3 linked regions of the Drosophila melanogaster genome follow. The protein of the gene in region 1 interacts with the protein of each later gene in a pairwise test. Each region holds a gene or a part of one and is shown in the gene's direction. Other genes may lie near its edges.

The links. Proteins that work in one complex are often made in the same cells at the same time.
Region 2: the proteins of CG11327 (region 1) and CG15282 interact in a two-hybrid assay, tested with the Drosophila melanogaster proteins (one large-scale study listed by BioGRID).
Region 3: the proteins of CG11327 (region 1) and CG17270 interact in a two-hybrid assay, tested with the Drosophila melanogaster proteins (one large-scale study listed by BioGRID).

Annotation. Positions count from the first base shown.
Region 1 is NT_033779.5:6,682,382-6,690,430, reverse strand, and holds CG11327 (uncharacterized protein), read left to right. Parts: upstream 1-3,718; 5' UTR 3,719-3,868; intron 3,869-3,931; 5' UTR 3,932-3,936; coding exon 3,937-5,364; 3' UTR 5,365-5,589; downstream 5,590-8,049. Other genes in the region: Tsp (thrombospondin), read left to right, coding at 1,313-1,635, 1,694-3,177, 3,234-3,367, 3,436-3,506; Nhe3 (Na[+]/H[+] hydrogen exchanger 3), read left to right, coding at 6,483-6,705, 7,561-7,685, 7,748-7,936, 8,001-8,049.
Region 2 is NT_033779.5:14,708,625-14,713,618, forward strand, and holds CG15282 (uncharacterized protein), read left to right. Parts: upstream 1-3,846; 5' UTR 3,847-3,962; intron 3,963-4,018; 5' UTR 4,019-4,117; coding exon 4,118-4,129; intron 4,130-4,200; coding exon 4,201-4,428; 3' UTR 4,429-4,494; downstream 4,495-4,994.
Region 3 is NT_033777.3:20,815,945-20,822,475, reverse strand, and holds CG17270 (uncharacterized protein), read left to right. Parts: upstream 1-3,546; 5' UTR 3,547-3,765; coding exon 3,766-3,767; intron 3,768-4,675; coding exon 4,676-4,836; intron 4,837-4,890; coding exon 4,891-4,981; intron 4,982-5,048; coding exon 5,049-5,167; intron 5,168-5,261; coding exon 5,262-5,398; 3' UTR 5,399-6,031; downstream 6,032-6,531. Other genes in the region: RpS20 (ribosomal protein S20), read right to left, coding at 1-58, 203-205; CG17271 (uncharacterized protein), read left to right, coding at 765-875, 935-1,048, 1,110-1,330, 1,678-1,826, 2,033-2,283; Fancd2, read left to right, coding at 6,383-6,457, 6,524-6,531.

The DNA of each region.
Region 1 (8,049 bases):
AAAAACCCTCGAAAATTATAGAGTACCTGTAGTACCTGGGCTAATTTGGGGCTTCTCGCGAATGTGTGAAACAAGAGGGTTAATCAGAGCTCACAGATATACTGAGATTCAACGAGTTTTGGGCGTGCTGGAATGTTGGGGCCATATAAGACAAGTTGTCTAATTGATTTGCGGCAAAAGTACAAAGTGCTCGATGCTCTTCCAGTAGGTGGACTTAATTGAACGAGTCGAATGGGACACATTACACATTAAACTACCTACTTACTAATCAACAATTCTCATTTGTATCAGGCAACATTCTAGTGCCCTCGCATAATGTGCAACACTATCAGAGGCAGAGCCAGTACACCGCCCGAAAATACTCGGTCGTTACGAACTAATCCGCGGAGGAAGGGACTATTGCAACGTTTTCGGCTGAGCTATGATACACAACTAAAGCTAAACAAGTACAGAGCGTAGAAAGTGCACATATTGAATTACTACTTTATAAAATAGTCATAAGTTGTAAGCTCTCCGATTGGCGAACAGCGGAAATTCATAGTATTAGCAATTATCATTTGAAAGCAGACGCAGCTCCAGCGGAAAATCGTGAGATAATATCATTGAAAAGCTCTTGTAGAATAGATAACTAAATATGTATATGTACGTCCCAATCAAATGCCCAGAAAGTGGAGTCTATAAACGTGTAACAAAATTTGCTTGCCCCGCCTGAAATCTCCCAATTATTGTAATAAACTATGAATATTATTATAACAAAATGTACGCTGTAATTTTTGGTATTTAATAAATAAACTCCATCATTGGCCACACAAATTTTTATTTATTTACCCATCGAAATCATCCAAACCAAACCCACATGCCTTTCTATCGCATCATGTTTATACACTATCATTTTCTGGTCATACATTCAGATATATCAACGGTGAGTGGAAGTTGAACTCGAAATATCTTATAGATAATTATAAAGAATCAGCTGAATAGATATAACTTATTTCAAAGAAAAGCTATATCATTTTACCCAGTGTCCATGAATCGGCAAAGAATCGGAAAACAATATAGAAGTAGAAAGCGAAGTAGCACAAAAGCTTATATACATATAGTGTTTTTGTCAAACTTACATCGAAATTGTCATTTTTCAAACCGTTTTTTAAACAGAAAAAGTTTTCTTTGAAGAAAATGGCTCATAAAGATACTCATACATATGTGAGTGAACATGTTGGCAGCTTCGTGAATAACTCACCTGTTTCCATTCGTTTTATTGCATTGCAATCATCTTAATTCGTTTTTGCAATTACTTTTTAACTTAACGAAGGCGCCCAGTGCCTCCAGGTTGGCTATCCGCCCTACTTTCACTGCATCTCGTGTCCAATGGGCCACGAGGTGAACGGAACCAGCTGCCGGGATATGAATGAGTGCCTGCTCTACGATCCTTGCGACGAGCTGGCGACGTGCACCAATCTTAGTCCTGGCTTCCAGTGCAGCCCGTGTCCCGTTGGCTTCGATGGCACCCACGCCCATGGCTACTTCGCCGACTACTACTCCGTGGATTATCGCAGGCAAACGTGCCTGGACGTCGATGAGTGCCGCACTGGGTTCTTCCGATGCCCGGAGCATTCTACTTGCATCAACGAGATTGTGAGTACGATACAAATTTAAAAAAAAATAGTTTAAAAGTAATAGATTTCTTTCGCAGGGTTCCTACAGATGCCAATGCCACGAAGGATATGTAACAAATGGCACCTACAGCTGCCTAGACAGATCCTCGGTGTTCATGTGTCCGGATGGAACCGTTTGTGACCGCAATGCCGTGTGCCTTAGGATGGATAACATCCGCCACAAGTGTCACTGCAATGTGGGATGGGCGGGCAACGGTTTGATTTGCGGTAGGGATACCGACGTAGATGGATGGCCAGATCAGGCAATCGGTTGTCCAGAGCTGCGCTGTCAGCGAGACAACTGCCCGAAGTTGCCTAATTCAGGCCAGGAGGACGCCGATCTGGATGGACATGGCGATGGGTGCGACGACGATGCCGATGGCGACAATGTCCAGAACAGCCAAGACAACTGCTGGCTGGCCTACAACACCGAGCAGCTGGACTCGGATGGAGACAAGGTGGGCGATGTGTGCGACAACTGCGTGCTTAAGTACAATCCCAGGCAGTTGGACACGGACGAGGATGGACTGGGAGACGAGTGCGATGGTGATATCGACAACGACTCCATACCAAATGCGCTAGACAACTGTCCGCTGCTGCCGAATCCCAGTCAGTCGGACGTGGACAACGATGGTGTGGGCGACGCTTGCGATAACTGTCCGAATCTTCCGAATCCCGACCAAAAGGATCGCGACATGGACTTTGTAGGCGATGCCTGTCACAGAGACATCGACGGGGATGATGATGGAGTTCCAAACTCGCTGGACAACTGCCCAATGGTCAGTAACTCGGACCAGCTGGACACTGACGGTGATGGAACGGGCGATGAGTGCGATGACGACATGGACGGAGATGGGATACCCAACTACAAGGACAACTGTCCGCTGGCCAAGAACCCAAAGCAGGACGACTTCAATCGGAATGGCAAGGGTGACTCTTGCGAAGATGATGAGGACGTAGATGGTGTACCGAATGGCATGGACAACTGCCCGAACAACTCGATGATTCATCACACTGACTTTCGCACTCTTCAAACCATTCCACTGGATCCCAAAGGCCTATCGCAAGCGGATCCCAACTGGGTGGTACACGCCAATGGCACCGAGATAGTCCAGACCCTCAATTCGGATCCGGGACTAGCGGTGGGCAAGGACGCCTTCGGAGGCGTTGACTTCGACGGCACCTTTTATATCAACGATGACACGGACGATGACTACGCTGGCTTTGTGTTCAGCTACCAGAGCAGCTACAAGTACTACGTGGTGCAGTGGAAGAAGGGCACCCAAACCTACTGGGAGCCACGACCCTTCACCGCCTCTGCGGCGCCGGGCATCCAGATCAAGCTGGTCAACAGCACCGAGGGTCCGGGCCCAATGATGAGGAACAGCCTGTGGCACGAGGGAAACACCGACGGTGAGGCCAGGCTGCTGTGGAAGGATCCGAAGAACATTGCGTGGAAGGAAAGGACCTCCTACCGCTGGTCCCTGGTGCATCGACCGGCCATCGGCCTCATCCGCCTGCAGTGAGTGATGGCACCATGACAGGGTTCCCATGTCTTCATTCTCCTTCTACCCACAGAATGCACGAGGGTAACCGCCTGATCTTCGACTCGGGCAATGTGTTTGACTCCACGCTGAAGGGCGGTCGGCTGGGCGTGTTCTGCTTCTCACAGAGGATGATTATATGGTCCAACCTGCAGTACAAGTGCAATAGTAAGGGAAATCGAAACAAAGTGGTAACTTCAACTGAACTAAACTTTTTTCTATGCTTTTCAAAACAGATCGTGTGAAGCCGCTGATCTACAATGATCTGTCCGACTATCTCAAGACGAAGGTGGAGTTGCAGGACTGAGGGGAATCGCAATCCTCAGAGCCATTAACGTCTTTTCTGCCATCAATTCTAACCAAATTATGTATTAATGCTACCACTAAGTTAATAAATGAGTTGCCAATCCAGTTGGCCATTGGAGCCGCGTTTTCCAACACAAAAATGAACTGAATCAAGTTGGCCTGGCTGCACGTGAAATCAGGAGACATTGCCTGTCAATCCATTTAGTTCAATTGCCACAGTTAGGCGAACACACTTTCGCTAGGGAACGTTTTGATCACCGAAATAAGGGAAAACCCATGTTGAAAACATTGATATAATATTTCACGGATGTCGAACTAGTTAACCAGGTTAAATTCAGTCAGTCTTGCGTAAATTTATAAAGGGTAAGTTGGAGCACAGTGCTCTACCAAATTGTGCTGACCTCATTCATTTATGCGTCCAAATAGCCACGATGGCCAGCCGCAATGTGCAAGCAACTCCATCCCAGGAAGAGCTGAAGCGGACTGAGAACAACAAGAATGTGAAAAACTCCGAAGAATGTCAATCAATGGAAAACGATGTGGACGCGGTTGTCCCATCTTCGTCGGAGAGTGAGCTGCGGCCTCGCAGTTCGGGAGTTAGGCCCACTAAAATTCCGGCTCCACTTTTCTTGGGACCCAGTGCCAGCAGCCGGATCTACAGTTCACTGATGCCCGAGAGAAAGCGACGCTCCTCCATGGAAAGTCAACAGATGGCCGACGATTCTGGCATCAATTTGGATTGCTCCACGGACGAGCAGCAGACTACGCTGTCGGCCAGACCGAGTCCAATGCTGCAGCCGATGCTCGACAGGATTCCGGACACTAGCAGCGAGTTGGAGCTCCGACTGGCAGAGGAGCAGACTCTCAAGGAACTTCAACGCGTCGTCGCCGAAATGGAGGCTGATGTGGCTTTTAATAATTTAGATATGCAAAATCTACTGCCCGATGATATTGACCAGGATACACAGGTGCAATATGACGCCACTGATGTGGATACACAGTTGCAAAATGAAGCCTCTGATGTGGAGAATGGTGCCGAGTCTTCCGGACTAGATATGGAACAGCTGACAGGAAACGATATTCAGCAGGAAACACTTCCTGAAACACAACCCGAAGAACTTATACCAGGAAATGTACAGATGGTGGAAAAAGAAATTGCACCGAAAGGGGAATTTCCAGAAATAAAGGAAACTGCCGTGGAAATAGAATCTTTAAAGGAATTCGAAATTGTCCAGCATTTGGGCGAAGAGCCAATAGATGAACACACAGAGATCGTCCAAGAGACCCCGCAAGATCCTACAGACGTAGAATCCGAGAAATCTGTACCCGAATCGGATATGGAGGAACTCGAAACGTTAATTAATGAAAGTAGCGAGTCCGAAGAGGACAGGCTTGTTCGTGAACAATTCGAGAAATACCCTGAAACATTGGAGCCCATGTTTCATCCAACGGCGGATGAGATTGTGTGCATTGACTCGGTCCCGGAACTGGCCGACCATCCCTCACTAGATGGGTCGGTGCAAAACGGTCGCGAGATGGTTACTTTGGATGAACTATTTGATCCGGAGTACAATGTGCACCTAATGCGCCAACTTTTGCAGGCCAGAATAGAAGAGAATAGCGAAGTTGAAACAGCTCCAGACTTGATAGAAAGTGAGCAAGCGGAAGAAAGGGAGACGCTGACGGGCCCGGAGGCGGAAATCGATATGGAGGAGGAAACGGATCCGGACCTAAAACAAACTGGCAAGCCCTTGAGTTTCTTGAGGCGTCTAGTCAACCACAGAATCCTTAAGCTTAGCTATCCCATATTGTTCTGCAGCTTGGCTTTCAGTTTGGTCTATATAATTCGCAAGGAGTAGAAGTTCACTATTCTAGAAATGCAAATTGGATAATGCGAACTTGCGAGAGCATACGTTTCACTACGGTATATCTTAGGAAACACTTCAAAATCGCCCGACGCATTGGCATAGTTGGGTTGCTTTAAATATCTATTTTCCAAATAAATATCCACAATATCACGGCCGCACTGTTTGTAATTTGTATAATTTGTATGTATATTTGAATTAAAGCGCCAATTACTTAACATTCTTTTTGAAACGAGCGCTAGGTGGCGCCTTTGTCAGGTCATACTCTTGTTGGCTAGGGCAGGGTAACGGTTATCGATAACCGGAAACTGCACCTGCCCGTTTACTGTTTTCCCGGAATAATTACCGATGGAGGAACGGCGGAATTCTAAACATGGGGAATTTTTTATTTATTTTTTTTTTTTTGAATGTATAGAGGAATCGTGAAAAATAGCAATGATACGAACTTACAGATCTAACTATGTCGGTGGGACACGGAGAGACTGGTCGGCGGGACTAGTACTAGACGACGGGAAAGAAAATTAATAAATGAAAAGGCTAATTTGACGCAATTCCCGGAATAATAGTTTTTACTTGGAAAATAGTTTGGGATTATTGCAAGTTTTAGTTTTACATAACTATTATATTGAATACAAATATCTTTACTGAACCGCTCCTGTTCAAAGGCAATATTTTTTCGCGTGCTAGCGTGCGGTCACACTGCAGTCGCATACGGTTGTTTCCATATGAACGAACAAACTGTTTTTTTAGCGGAGTGCGCTGCTGTGAAATTTTGAAAGCTCTTTTTGGACCCTTTAATTTTATGTAACGGCTGTGCGGCACATTCAATATCCAAGCGAAAGGAGGTCCACACACTCCCCTGGCGCCGCCTGAGCGTGGTCGTCCTGCTCCGCGCTTCTAGCACCATCACCTCCACCACCACCCCCCCAACCCGTGAAACATAACGCGAAAATCGATTTCGGCTGCAGGCGCAGGAAGAAACTGAAGAAAGTATGTCCCACGGCGATGTGGACCCCGAGGTAGAGATGACATCGCCCCACCGTATTCATGGGGACGCAGGAAGTCACCCAAGGTCGCAGACATTCTGGAAGCTACAGTGCTGGCGGAGCAGCATGCTGCTCATAGTCGGATTTGCATTGTGCGTCCTCGCGCCTGGATGCAGCGCCACGGACACTGACATCGCTCTGGACGCCAAGGCCACGCTCAATCACCGCATCCAGAGCCTGGACCTTCTAGTCTTCGTGTTCCTGCTGGCGCTCACAGTGCTCACAATTTGGCTTTTCAAACACCATCGCGTCTCCTGGCTCCACGAGACGGGATTGGCCGTCATCTACGGTACGTTGGTAACGCGGGCAGCTTTCCCTTTTGGCCATGTTTCCCTTAGCTCGAAAGACTTGATTATCGGTCACCTGCCACATTCATTGCTACCTCTTTGTTGTCACCAATTTCGAATTACGCCTTTGTCCACGCCAACCGTGACATTACGTGCGCACATATGGGAGGCAGTAAAAGCCACCCCGGGGTAGAAGTAACATCAATATCCGTGAAAGAACCTGCACGCAACGACAGCAGAGCTAATGCATTGCGGCAAAGATATTGTATACGAGACCTTGACTTGCTTAGTCAGTCAATATCATTGGGGTTTTCCGACCGAATGTATTTTCACTGCTCGTTCATGATCGCGGCAATCTGCCGAGTACTTTGTTATTCTAACAATTTCGTTTATGTGCAGCAATAAAAGAGCAAACAAGATTTCGTTCGACTAATTGAAGCTAATGAAACAATTCAATAAAACTGGTTGGCCTGGGCGTCGACAAAGCCCAGCTCTGGTGTAAACTGGAAAAGATTATTTAGCATTCGTCCGGCAGGGCCAGTGAAAGCATTTTGTTATGCGCACCACGATTAATCATCCCCACAAATTTGTTTATCGGCGTGAACATAAAACACTGATTCCGTCTGCGAATTATGAACCTGTTGAGTGGTTGCTTAGTTGATAAGGCTTGATATGGCTTGACTAAGCATTTTTCTAAGCGGCTATTAGTCACACCCTTGCTTTGCGATAGGTCAGTCCAGAAAACAGTCATACTAGCTTTATTTCATTTAAGACCCGGTAAAATTACATTACAATTCAACTTATTTTCGATCCCAACTGCAGCAATAGCCAAAACTAATGTGTTTACCCCATTTCAGGCTTGATTGTGGGTGCAATTATACGATATGCCGGCACCTCCGCCACCCTGGTCCACATGCAGGTGGAGCCTCAGGGAGTTCCAACGTACAGCGATAAATTGCCGCCTGATACTCTTTGGTTTAGGGTAAATCATTAATGGCCAGAACGAATATATGTAAATATATTACAATTTGGTTTTAATTTTAGTACCCCGTTAATCAAACAAATGGCACAAAGCCGCCAGAGGGAATCAAGACGTATGCCTACGTGTTTCGAGGACAGGTACACGATGTGGATGAGAACGAAATCGATCTTAAGGCAACGTTCGATCCGGAGGTATTTTTCAATATTATCCTGCCCCCAATTATCTTTTATGCGGGCTATAGCTTGAAAAAGGTAAGTTCATTGAGCCGCCAATTGTATTGAAAAAAATTTACCGAGATATATTTGGCTTTTGCAGAAATACTTCTTTCGCAACTTGGGTGCCATACTTACGTTTGCCATTGTGG
Region 2 (4,994 bases), 8.0 Mb from region 1:
TGCCATGAATGAGGTGCATTTGTATAGAACGAGATGGATTGGTATGGAAATAAACTCGAACGCTGAGGTGCGCTCATGGATGTCAATGTGATTATTATTTAAATCAAGAGGATGGTTTGGGAAATATTTGATCTAATGAGATATGATTTACTATGTGTTAATAATCTTAACTCTGATATCAGAAAATATTTTGTGACGCAAATTAGGATGTGGCAAAAAAGTATTGTTATTTGCCATTGATAAACTGTGATGATTGTGAAATGAATTATATGGGTAAGATATAAATACACTAGTGAGGTGGAGTAATGAATTATTCGAAGCTACCTTTCGCAAATCAGTTATTTAAAACAAGCTTATGATAAGGATGTTTGTACTGGAATAGATTTAACCAATAGTCCTTCATCCTTGGCAGAGTCCTTGCATTACCTGAAACTTTTCTCATTATATCTGCACCGGCACAGCAACGAACAGTGGAAACCGAAGTACTCCAACGGCAGAGCCAACTTTCTGCCCGCCCACAGCTTCAGGTTTTACCAATGACTTCCGTCATCACCGACACACTCAAAGTGTAAATTTGCATTTGCTTCTAATTACGAGCGGGTACAAGAAATTGCCCAGAACTGAGGCCGGAGAAGGCCCGCATTTGCAGCATTTGCAGCATCGGAGCATCTTGGCAACTCGGAAACTTGGCATCTGCAAATGGAGGAGCACTTGCGGCAATTGCAATTTAGAATTTCAATTATATTTATATTTTTTATGGGGTTTTAGGGTGGTGCCTAGGTGGAAAATGCCCGCACACACGGAAGTGCTGGAAAACTACAAATCAAGTGCCACGCACGCAAATTTCCTTTAATTAAAACCAAACTTTTAAGAGCCCCTCGTCTGCATCTTCTTCACGTTCCTCGGCCGCAGATGCATCTTCACTTGGTTACCCAACTGCAAACTACTCGGGATCAACTTAAGCGAATCCAAGGCGACATAATCTTCGAGTGAGGCCCAAAGTGCGGGCCGCTTTTGTTGGTCGCAGGGCGAAGGGATTAAAGGCCAAAGTTTGCTCAGGTGAAGAAATACAATTAGCGAGTAGGACGAGGACACTGTGGCACAAATGAAGTACCGAAATTCATTTTAAAATGTCTTGTCCTTATATTACAATGAAACTTACATGCTATTTTTCCCAATTTAAATTGCACGGCATTACTAATTATTCGAAATTACTGTTTAAGTCACAAATTAGCTGCAAAATAATTAAGTTGCTAAGTTTTTAATCAATTCTTACCAAGGATTAAGCAAGGTTATTGCACGACTGTAATGAACTGCATAGATAAATAAAAAGTTTTACAAGGCATAATTATTAGTATTATTAACTGGTTCATTTACGGATTTAATGCCCTTTTTTTGGGGCTCTTTTGGTTTTAATGTGCCTAAAATTAGCTGGGGTCAGGGAATGCCACTCCTGATTGGGATTATGAATATGAAGTCAAAGCCTACAAAAATCTCTTCCAAGTTTGGTTTTGTAAGTAAAATTCAGTTTTCTTCGCGTTCCAGCCGGAAGTGCACTTAGTATAAAAAAAAAAACGCGGTGAGGGCAAAAAGCGGGCCAAAAGGCAATAAAGAAAACTTCGCCGCCCTTCGAAGCGATGCGAGTGCAGTGGGAAACTTTTCTAACCCATATTAAAACATATTTGCGCAAAAATATGCAGATGCCCGCAGAGTGCAAGGAAGTTTTCACGAATATATGCAGGTTCCTGCCATATCTATATATGGACAGGTGGCGGCGGTGCGTTGGCAGTCAATTGCTCATTGACTTGGCTCAAAAATTGTTGAGTGTCGAGTTCTAAGTCCTAAGCCCCTGCTAACATGTTGGCGAAAGTTCCCGGCACCAGATACGGAAGAGCCGACATCTTCCTCTTCGGAATACCATTTCTTTCGGGCTTAGTTTCCAGTTGAGTTTACGTGAGCTTGGATTTCAAGCTGTGCGCGCACATAAGTTTGCGGCTTAAGCATGTGAAATTCATATGGATGGAAATGGAACCACCCACACGCCACCCCACATATTCAGCTCCAGGAATTTGCACCCACCTGCAGGTGGGGCATAACATTCTGACTGGGCTAATGCATTGCTAGCCACCCAAATAACCTAAGACATTGCGTCGCACGGGGGTGCCAAAGAAGTCAAGCCAAGTTACTAGTGCCAAAAGTTTAAAATTAAACGTAGTTATATCAAAAAAAAAACAGCTTGGTTGGAAACGTAGGGTACTACTGAACTATATATAACGAAGAATGTGTATCTTAAATAGTTTAAATGTTTTTTTTTTACTATTTTATTTAACCTTTCTTTCATTCGCCAATACCAACTTAACGTAAATCAAGAAACTAACGTAGTCAACAGTTTGTTGTTTACCTATCGGTGACGCAAATATTTAATTATAAATTCAGCTCGATTAAAGTTTAAAAGAGCAAAGAATGTCCCAAAAATGTTGCGTTGTAAGCAAAAGGCTAATTATGTTTATGCAAAGTGTTTTTTTTTTGAACTTATGGAACCTAATGGAATATAATTTGAACAAAATTATTGAAAATTGACGGTAATTGAAATGAATTTGAACAAATTTCAGTGCACGGCTTTGGGTGTCGTGTTGGGCCACCATCAAAGGAGTCAAAGAGCGTTGAATGTTGAATGTTGCAACTTTGACACGCGACGCAGACGTTGGCCCAGAGTGTTTTCCCCGGAGCTCTGCAATTTTAAGGGCCTAGGCCTCCCGAAAAGGGTTCATTAGACATTTTACCAAAATTACTGCACATTTCCAAAAAGCAACGGCTATATGATTAGTTTTGAAGCGGTGGTTTATTTGAAGTAGAGGGTTTACTTTGATTTAAGTTAAGTTGAGCGAGTTTGCGTTGTAAGTTACTTGAACATTAAACGGATAAAGTCACTAGTACCCACACTAAACAGCTTACTTGCCAACCGGGAAGAGGGACTTGTGGTGCCCGACTAAACACAAATTCGATGAAATAAAAATAAATTAGCTGCTTTAAATGAGCCAAATAAATTCATTTAGGGTTTTATGCGCTCCACTGAAGTATGCCAAAAGGCACCGTCTTCGTCGTCGCAGTCTTTCGCATCACCCTCTTTTCGGATGGCAGGGTTAAGAGCCAAGTTAAAGGCAACACGTATTGCCAAACTCGATTGCCGCTGGCGCCGCACACCAAATGCAATTTCACTTCACCCTCGTCGAGGTACGGTAAAATTTCCAGGGTCTCCGGTCTCCGGTCGCCAGTATTCCCCATTCGCTGCAGGTGATTCCCCATCGAGACACTTATCTATTGAGTGAGCTTGGTTCGCTTCGTTTGGACCGCTCTTGAAGTGAACGCCAACGAAATAAGAAAACAACAAAGTTTCTTTTGATTATGTCAATGGAATTTGTTTATCTCAACGAAATGTAACCGAATTGAAAAAAATATGTTTTTTTTACGCTCATTTGCATTTACTTTTGCCCGGATATAAATGTGGCAATTGGAAGGGGTGATTTGTTCAAATGTCCAGCTCAGTAAGATTCAATAATTATATATACACGTAACACATTAATGTGATTCTATGGTAAACATTAGAGTAAGGAAGCAAATTTGTTTTGAGAACCCCAGAAACAAAGGCATCATCAACAACGTCAAGTAGCATCAACAACGTCTAGTTTGGGTTCAATATATTGATTCTTGGAAACGTGCCTCTAGAAACTGAATAGCTTAGTCATAAATTCAGTAAAAATACTATTTAAATATAAATTGGCAAACTATTAAAATTCATATCAAAAGCCACGCACCTGGCGCCTGTTCCCCTAAAAAAAAATGGAAACCGGTCAATAACCACAACAAATTCAAAACCGGATTGGAAGAGAAACGCTGGTCACCTGTGAGGAAAGCCCCCACGTCTGGTCCAGTGTCTGGGACAAGTTTTTATTTCAGTGCGGGTAAAGAACCTCCGAAATTCAAACATTATATGAATTCAAAAAAATCGTATAAATAGAGAAAGACGTGACAGAAAGGGCACAGTATCGAGTGCAACATCGAAGCATCCTCATCTTCTGGGATATTAGTACAAATTGAATTCATTTTCAAATTCAATATGAAATTCTTGGTAAGTTTGGCCACCAGAGCTACACCTCGCAGGGATTAAGGACTTTATAAAAATAATAAACGGCCATTCAGGTGATCGTTTTTGTGGCCCTTATCGCCGTTGCTTCCGCGCTTCCTCAATTCGGATATGGAGGATTCGGTGGATTCGGAGGATTCGGTGGCCAACAGCAGCAGCAAGAAGGATTCGGCGGTTTCGGAGGCTTCGGAGAACAGCAACAGCAGCAGGAAAGCTTCGGTGGATTCGGCGGATTTGGAGGAATCGAGCAGCAGCAGCAGCAGCAACAAGGAGGCTTCTTCTAAGGCTGTTACTTTAGTTCCTCGACTAAAAATTAAAATAAATTATTTGAACGTATTAGTATAACAAACACAAAACAGTTTTTGTTTTTAAATACTCATTTACATGTTTTGACAATGGCTTATTGTAGGCCTTTAGATCGACAGAGATTTTATTAATGAGTAACCTTCATTTATTTCGCTTGCTTATAAATACGTTTGGGTTTATTTTTTTGGACATAAGCAACATCAAGAAAAATGAATTATTAAATTAAATTAAAAATTTGTGTTTCAACATAAAAAATTGTTTTTATTTAGCTAATCGAAAATCACTTAATGGGTTAATGACATTTTTGTGCTATAACAACATTAATTGCAAACACTTGAATAATTCGCAAATGATGTTGGCATAAAAACCAAAGGCAGATACTGACTCATGCAAAATTGTGAAATAACCAAATGTTCTGACAGCAATAATTTAACAAAAAACCTAATTTGATTAGCGAAGAGCATACGCCAAGAAGAGCTGATTGCAAACCTGTATTTTTAGTGGGCCCGTCAACCCCAGATACTTGAACGTTTTCAACAACAGA
Region 3 (6,531 bases), on another chromosome or scaffold:
GGTGCACAGAGGCAGAATCGCCGACATGGGGCTTCTCAATATCCTTGGGTGCAGCAGCCTGTGGATTTGGCGGAAACATCGATTAAGTGGGGTTAGGTTGAACGGCCATCGCACGTGCACGGTATTTCGTGTTGGCAAGGGCAATGCAAGCACTACTATTGACTCGCAGTAGTTGCGGATTGTTCGGCAACAGCATTCTTACCATTATTTAGCAATTTCCCTGGTCGAGATATTCAAATCTTTGTATTTTGAGCAGCGCTGAACCAGTCAATTTGCTGGTTGAAAACGAAGAGAAGTTTTACAGGGTGTCCACGGTAGACCGTAGCTTCAATCTTTAAAACACCCTAATTATGCCCAACTGCATTTGGGGTGTTCCTTGAGCTAAATATTAGCGGGGTACTAATACTAAACCCCTAACGGTGAAATCGTACACATATTAGATTGATTAAATTTTGAGTTGTTAAATGGAAGCATCAAGTTTGTTTTTATGATTTTTTTTTTCGGTTTGAAGCATGATAATATTATCTACGCGCATACCCCTAACCCAGGCGCGCAGTGTTGTCATGCCGCTCACACGTTTCGTGGCGAATGTCCGCACTTACCTGAGAATCAGCTGTCGCTCGCTGCGAATGTCCACCGGCGAAGAAGAAGCGATTTGTGTACGTGTGTGTTTCGTCTTTGCGACGTGGTGATTACAGAGCCACCAGAAGCGATATAGATCCCAAACCGATCCGATCCGATCCCCGCCAGAATCCAGCACTTCCATGCAGATGCGCGTCACGGAATTGCCAGCAGTTCAGCTGCTGCTGCCCCTAATCCTGATTGGATTGGCCAGCGGACAGCGCGTCGCTCCCGGAGTGAATCCGCAGCACTATGTGAGTGATTTGAAGCACCCCCATTCGCCAATGAGGGAATTAACCCACACATATTGCAGCAACAAGTGCCGCAGCAGGTGCCGCAGCACCACCCACCGCCACCACCGCAGCACCACCAGCCGCAGTACCAGCAACAGGTCCACTCAGCACCCGGTGTGCCGCCCCAGCAATACGTGAGTGCAAATGCGCATTTCCGAATGGCAAGCAATTAACCAGTAGGCCTCCGACTTCCAGCAATACGAACAGGTTCAAGTTCCCGTGCAACAGCAGGCACCGGTCCAATATCAGCAAGTTCCTGTGCAGCAGCAGCAGCAGCAACATCAACCAATCCACCAGCAACCGACGATGCAGCAACAGCAACAGCCGCAGCAGGGGCACCACCAGCAGGCAGGTGGCCACCACCATGGGCAACCGCAGCAAGTCCTAAACACCGGCAACATTCAGCAGGAGCGCGCGTAAGTGCCCGTCTATCTTATCACTGCCACTGGCAATCATTATCCATCAATGGAGCTTTAGGGTATACGAGTAAAAATGTCATAAATAAATCATAAAAGTGAAGGGAGGTATTTTGTTGTACCGCAAACCTAAGGCTTAATTAGGAAAAAAGTCTATAAATTAAGCATAGTGACATTTTCATACAGCAAATGTTTCCATTCGCATTTAAAGAAATTATATATCAAAAGTTCCATGTTAAAAGTAAATTAGACATAGTACTTACATAATATTTCTGGGCTGATCTATTTCTTCAACCAAATCAACGATCAGTTGGATCTAATACCAAACCTTACTCTTTCAATTTCAGTCACATCCAGGAGCACATGCAAGTGCCAATCGATACGAGCAAGATGTCCGAGGCTGAGCTGCAGTTCCACTACTTCAAGATGCACGACTCGGACAACAACAACAAGTTGGACGGCTGCGAGCTGATCAAATCGCTGATCCATTGGCACGGTAAGATAGCTACTGCTTTTTAATCTGGCTCGCTGGTTAGAGTTGCGTTTGTGGTTTCTGTATTTCGTTTTGTTTGACCCACTATTCTGTTCTACTTCTTTGCATATGCGTAATAAAACTGGGCTGTTTCCGGTTATGGTTGTGGTCATGCTCGAATCTCATGCTAATCCATCTCGCATCCGCCATAACAAATCATTGCCATGCAGAGCAAGGCAGCAAGGAGCAGCCGAACGGTGAGAAGCCGCATGTGGAGGAGAAGGTTTTCTCCGACGAGGAGCTGGTGGCCCTCATTGATCCCATCCTGCAGATGGACGACACCTCACGCGACGGCTACATCGACTATCCGGAGTTCATTAAGGCGCAGCAAAAGGCCGCCGAGAAGCAGCAGCAGCAGCAGCAGCAACAACAGCAGCCGCACGAACAGCAACAGCAGCAGCAGCAGCAGCCGGTTCATTAGTAGTCACCCAGATGCGTTCAGTTTACATACATAAAACCATGTCCTCGTCCCGCGCTCTGTGACGTGCAACACATACTCCTGTTTCTGCCCAAAACACCCTGAAATTACGTTGACCTCGTCGACGATTTTAGCGCACTTCTTAGATAAATTTGAATGAAATTTACTTAACATGCTGCAAGCATTCCAATCGGAGAACTTCATTGAACAAATTGTAACTAAACGTCCTTCTGAGAACTCTTTTTTCAAAAGATTCGCATTTTCGAATATTATTTCTCACGAATCTCTCGAGTGGGTTGTGCAATTCCAGCCGCCTTGTTTCGTTTTGTTTTCGATTGTCATAATTTTAGTTACTTTTCGATATGAACTAATTTTTAAGCGCGACTTTAGAGCAGCAAAAAAAACAGACTGATTGTGTAAACGTTTGTTTTGTACAAAAAGAAAATGAAACTATGCAAAAAAATAAGCGAAGAAAACCCCGTCTTTTTAAACTGAAACCTACTATATAGACGCATGCAAATCTCTGTAAGTAAAGCCGAATTAGCGAATAAAGTCAACTTCAAATCACACGCGACCACCACATGTAATCCCTCTATCAAGTAGAATTGTAGACACTAGAACACATTTTCCGGTTTCGGGTGAGCTTAGCTAACAAGTTAACCATGCCCAGCGGAGCCTTAAAGTGTACATTACCTTTCTAGTCAAGGATAGTGGAGAAAAACCAGCCGAGGCACACCAGGAAGGCCACGCCGAGGGCCAAGCGCAGCAGCCCGATGATCACAAATCCGGATCTGTGTACACGGACAAGGCTCTGGAGGACACCATTGACTATGTGCTGAAGTCCATGGACCTGAACAACGATGGATTTGTCGACTGGGCCGAGTACCGCAAGACTGAGGCCAACATTGGCAAGGACTAGACCAGACTAGACCAGTTTCATCCCAAGAGAGCCATAGAACTTGACAAATTGTTGATCTTTTATACATGTTGCCTATACATATAGCAATTCCGATTGAACACAGTTTACAACTTTTGTACTTTGCTAAATAAAATGATGCTAAAAATGCAAGCCACACTTTTTTTTTAAGTCAGTAATGGCCAACTTGTGAATATATTTTTTTTAATCATAATCATACTATATTAATTGAGGACTTAGACCACTTTTTCCAGGTATTCCCGGTGCGATACGAACCAATCAACAAGAACCAAAGCTCCGAAAGCATAAAAGCTGCCTGTCCTCGCACGAAACTTTCCCATTCTAGACTTTTAGTGGCTGGCAAGGCGTTGCAGGCGGCGGTACGAGAATCGGTCGCGTTTACAGCTGAACGGCGAAAATACACATATATGAAATAAACAATCGCTGCTGCATAAAATAGGTTTTTGAGGGACACAAGAGTGCCAGTGGCAGTGCTGCAAACAAATATTACGCATACGCCGGGTGGGACGGATCGCGGTACTGCTGATTAACACGGGAATCTTTGCAAAATGTGAGTGAATTGAGGAGTGCTCCCGAAATCAAATACACACATAGCCAGTGGTGCATTTATTGTGAACCGCCTGATAGTGGCTAGCCGGTTGGTCCGGGGCCCATAAATCGCGTTGCTCGGACGACCCAGTCGGCGATGTTGCTTGGAAATAAACAACCGGGACTAATGGTGGATCCACCATAAGCGCTCCACGTGGTCGCGTGCAGCCGGGAATTACGCTCCGCATATTTGCATTGCGCAAATAGCACAGCAGCATAGTGTGCCATAATATCGATTTTGCCCAGACCTGCGGAGTGAAGTGGAGTGGGGTGGGTGGTGGCATGTGCTGGGACTTCCGAGTGCGATGCGATTCTCAGGGGAAGATAAGCCGGTTGCCACCGATGCCATTGGACTCGGCTGCTCGCTTGGAGTTCATGCTTGTGCTAAAAGCCTTTAAACAAAAGCACCTCATTATGCACACGCAATAGTATCGCGTTTATTCTAATGGCTTTGTAATACCGAAATATGTACATAGTTGGTTCTCTTATTATATCATCATAATCTAGACTGGGTCGGTCTGCTTTAAGCATAATGATACTATGACCTGAGCTAAATTTGTATATTTTCTGGCTAAGGTTCTTAATGAGTTTTTCTTATATCTTAAAACATTCGTTACACGAATACGAGTAGGCATAAAAAAACCTTACGACGAATTGTTACATTGTACATTCTATTACAAGTTTTCTGCAGTATAATGACCATTTTGTCAAAATTTCAAATAATTTTCTAAATATATAACCCTGATATGTGTAATAAAGTCTTCAAGTTGTGTTGGACATTAGACCAATTGGTAAACCCATTCCTTAGATTAAATTATTTTCCTTTAAAGGGAGAATGGATATTAAATAACACAGAAAATTTACTTGTAGGGCTGCCATGCAGTCTGGCGGACGACCCCGCGAGCGATTGCTGTACGCCTTCCGGGGATGGATAGCATTCGTGGCCTTCATGGACCTGGGCACGGCCTTTAGGAGCTACATAGAAAGACGCAGCTTCCTGGGCGATCACAGCGACACCCAGTTCATAGAGGGTAAGTGGGGATGGATTGAGCTGCTGGAGTCGCATTTGATGGGTTCTTTCACAGGGGACTACACCATATCGCGGATCATCGGGATGTACTGCCTGCTGAAGGCCATCGCTCTCGTCCACTGCACCCTCTACATTCACTACAAGCCGTAAGTGAATCCCATATATCCTCTGGTTAGATTATCGTCACTAATGGGGATATTTCCCTACGTTTAGGGTGGTCAGCATGGGCGGCTGCTCATTGGCCCTCACCATGGTCTTCTATGCCACCGAGGCACTCTACTTTCGCTCCAGCACCATTAACTTCTACGTGATCTTCCCGTGTGTGCTAAATTGTAAGTAAACACAACTAAAATTCAGTAATAACAAATTATATCTTTTTTGTAACACCCCGAACCATTTAGTAAATTGAATCTTTCGCCTTTTTAGCTATAACTCTACTGGGCCTCATCTATATACCCAAACGACTGCGGCTCTGGGAGCCAAATATGGATCTGGATGACGAAAACTCACAGCTGCTCAAGCAAATGACGGGCTTCAAGAGACGACGAGCGAAAAAACAATAGTTTATTACTATCTAGAAATATGAAAAGCAATAACCGGAAGACACTGAGTTGAGTTTCCGTTAGCACAGTATTGTGAAAGAATCGCAAATTTCGCTTTGGACTGCATTGGTGTGATAGAATCGGCATCATGTTCATCATTATATATACTCAATAGCAATACTGAAAACAACGCCAAATTAGTGATTTTCTATGAACTAGGTAGTGAAGGGTCTAAATGGCCCCGGAATAAGTCAATTTCTGGCATAATCACTTCAAGACATACATATGTTGTACTTCCTTTTTATAAAGCGTATTTATATACATTTAAAAATGTATGGCACAATAGAGTTTTTGCACTTTTAAGAGTTGAAAATCGATACTAGGAAATATTTATCTAATTATCAGAGACATCTAGCACCCGAGTTAAATAATTAAAATCGAAAGGCTTTAAATTAACAAATAAGCTCATAATCATCTTATTTACATATACGATTATCAATTTATGGATCATGCTTCCGTATCGATCATAAAATTAAGGAACATTTTATAGTCATTACGTATGATTGAATGTTATGTAAACCTAAAAAAAAGAAAATACAATAATAGTTTTGTACGAATTATGTAGATTATGTTTCAATAAAAATTTGAATTGACGAAAGTGGATTTTTATTTAGACTTCTACACACAGTGCTCTAAAGGTCGTTTCTTCATTTATTTTGTTAGATTTTAATTAGTAATGTTAAAAAAAAATAAGTATTTCTATAAGAGTTGAATTATTAGTTAATTTTTATAATCATTTGAAAATCGTAAAATTTGTATAAGAATTGTTACGATATTCGTTATTGCGCTTAGCGAATTCACGAACCTCGACCACCGCGGCTATCGATAAAAACTGATGTCAATGCTCGGTCACACTGCACCTGCATACGCGCCATTAAATTGTTTTGTTTTTATTATTTTGTGATTTAAGATTGAAGATTGAAGCTTATAAAGCTTTCCAGTACTATGTATAAACAATTTAAAAAACGCTCAAAGAAACCTCTGAACACCATCGATGAGAACGCGACCATAAAAGTGCCGGTAAGTGGACATTCGGACCAGTCGGAATTTGGAACTCCATTTACTTGACCAAAATCTGTGTTTCAGCGCCTGGC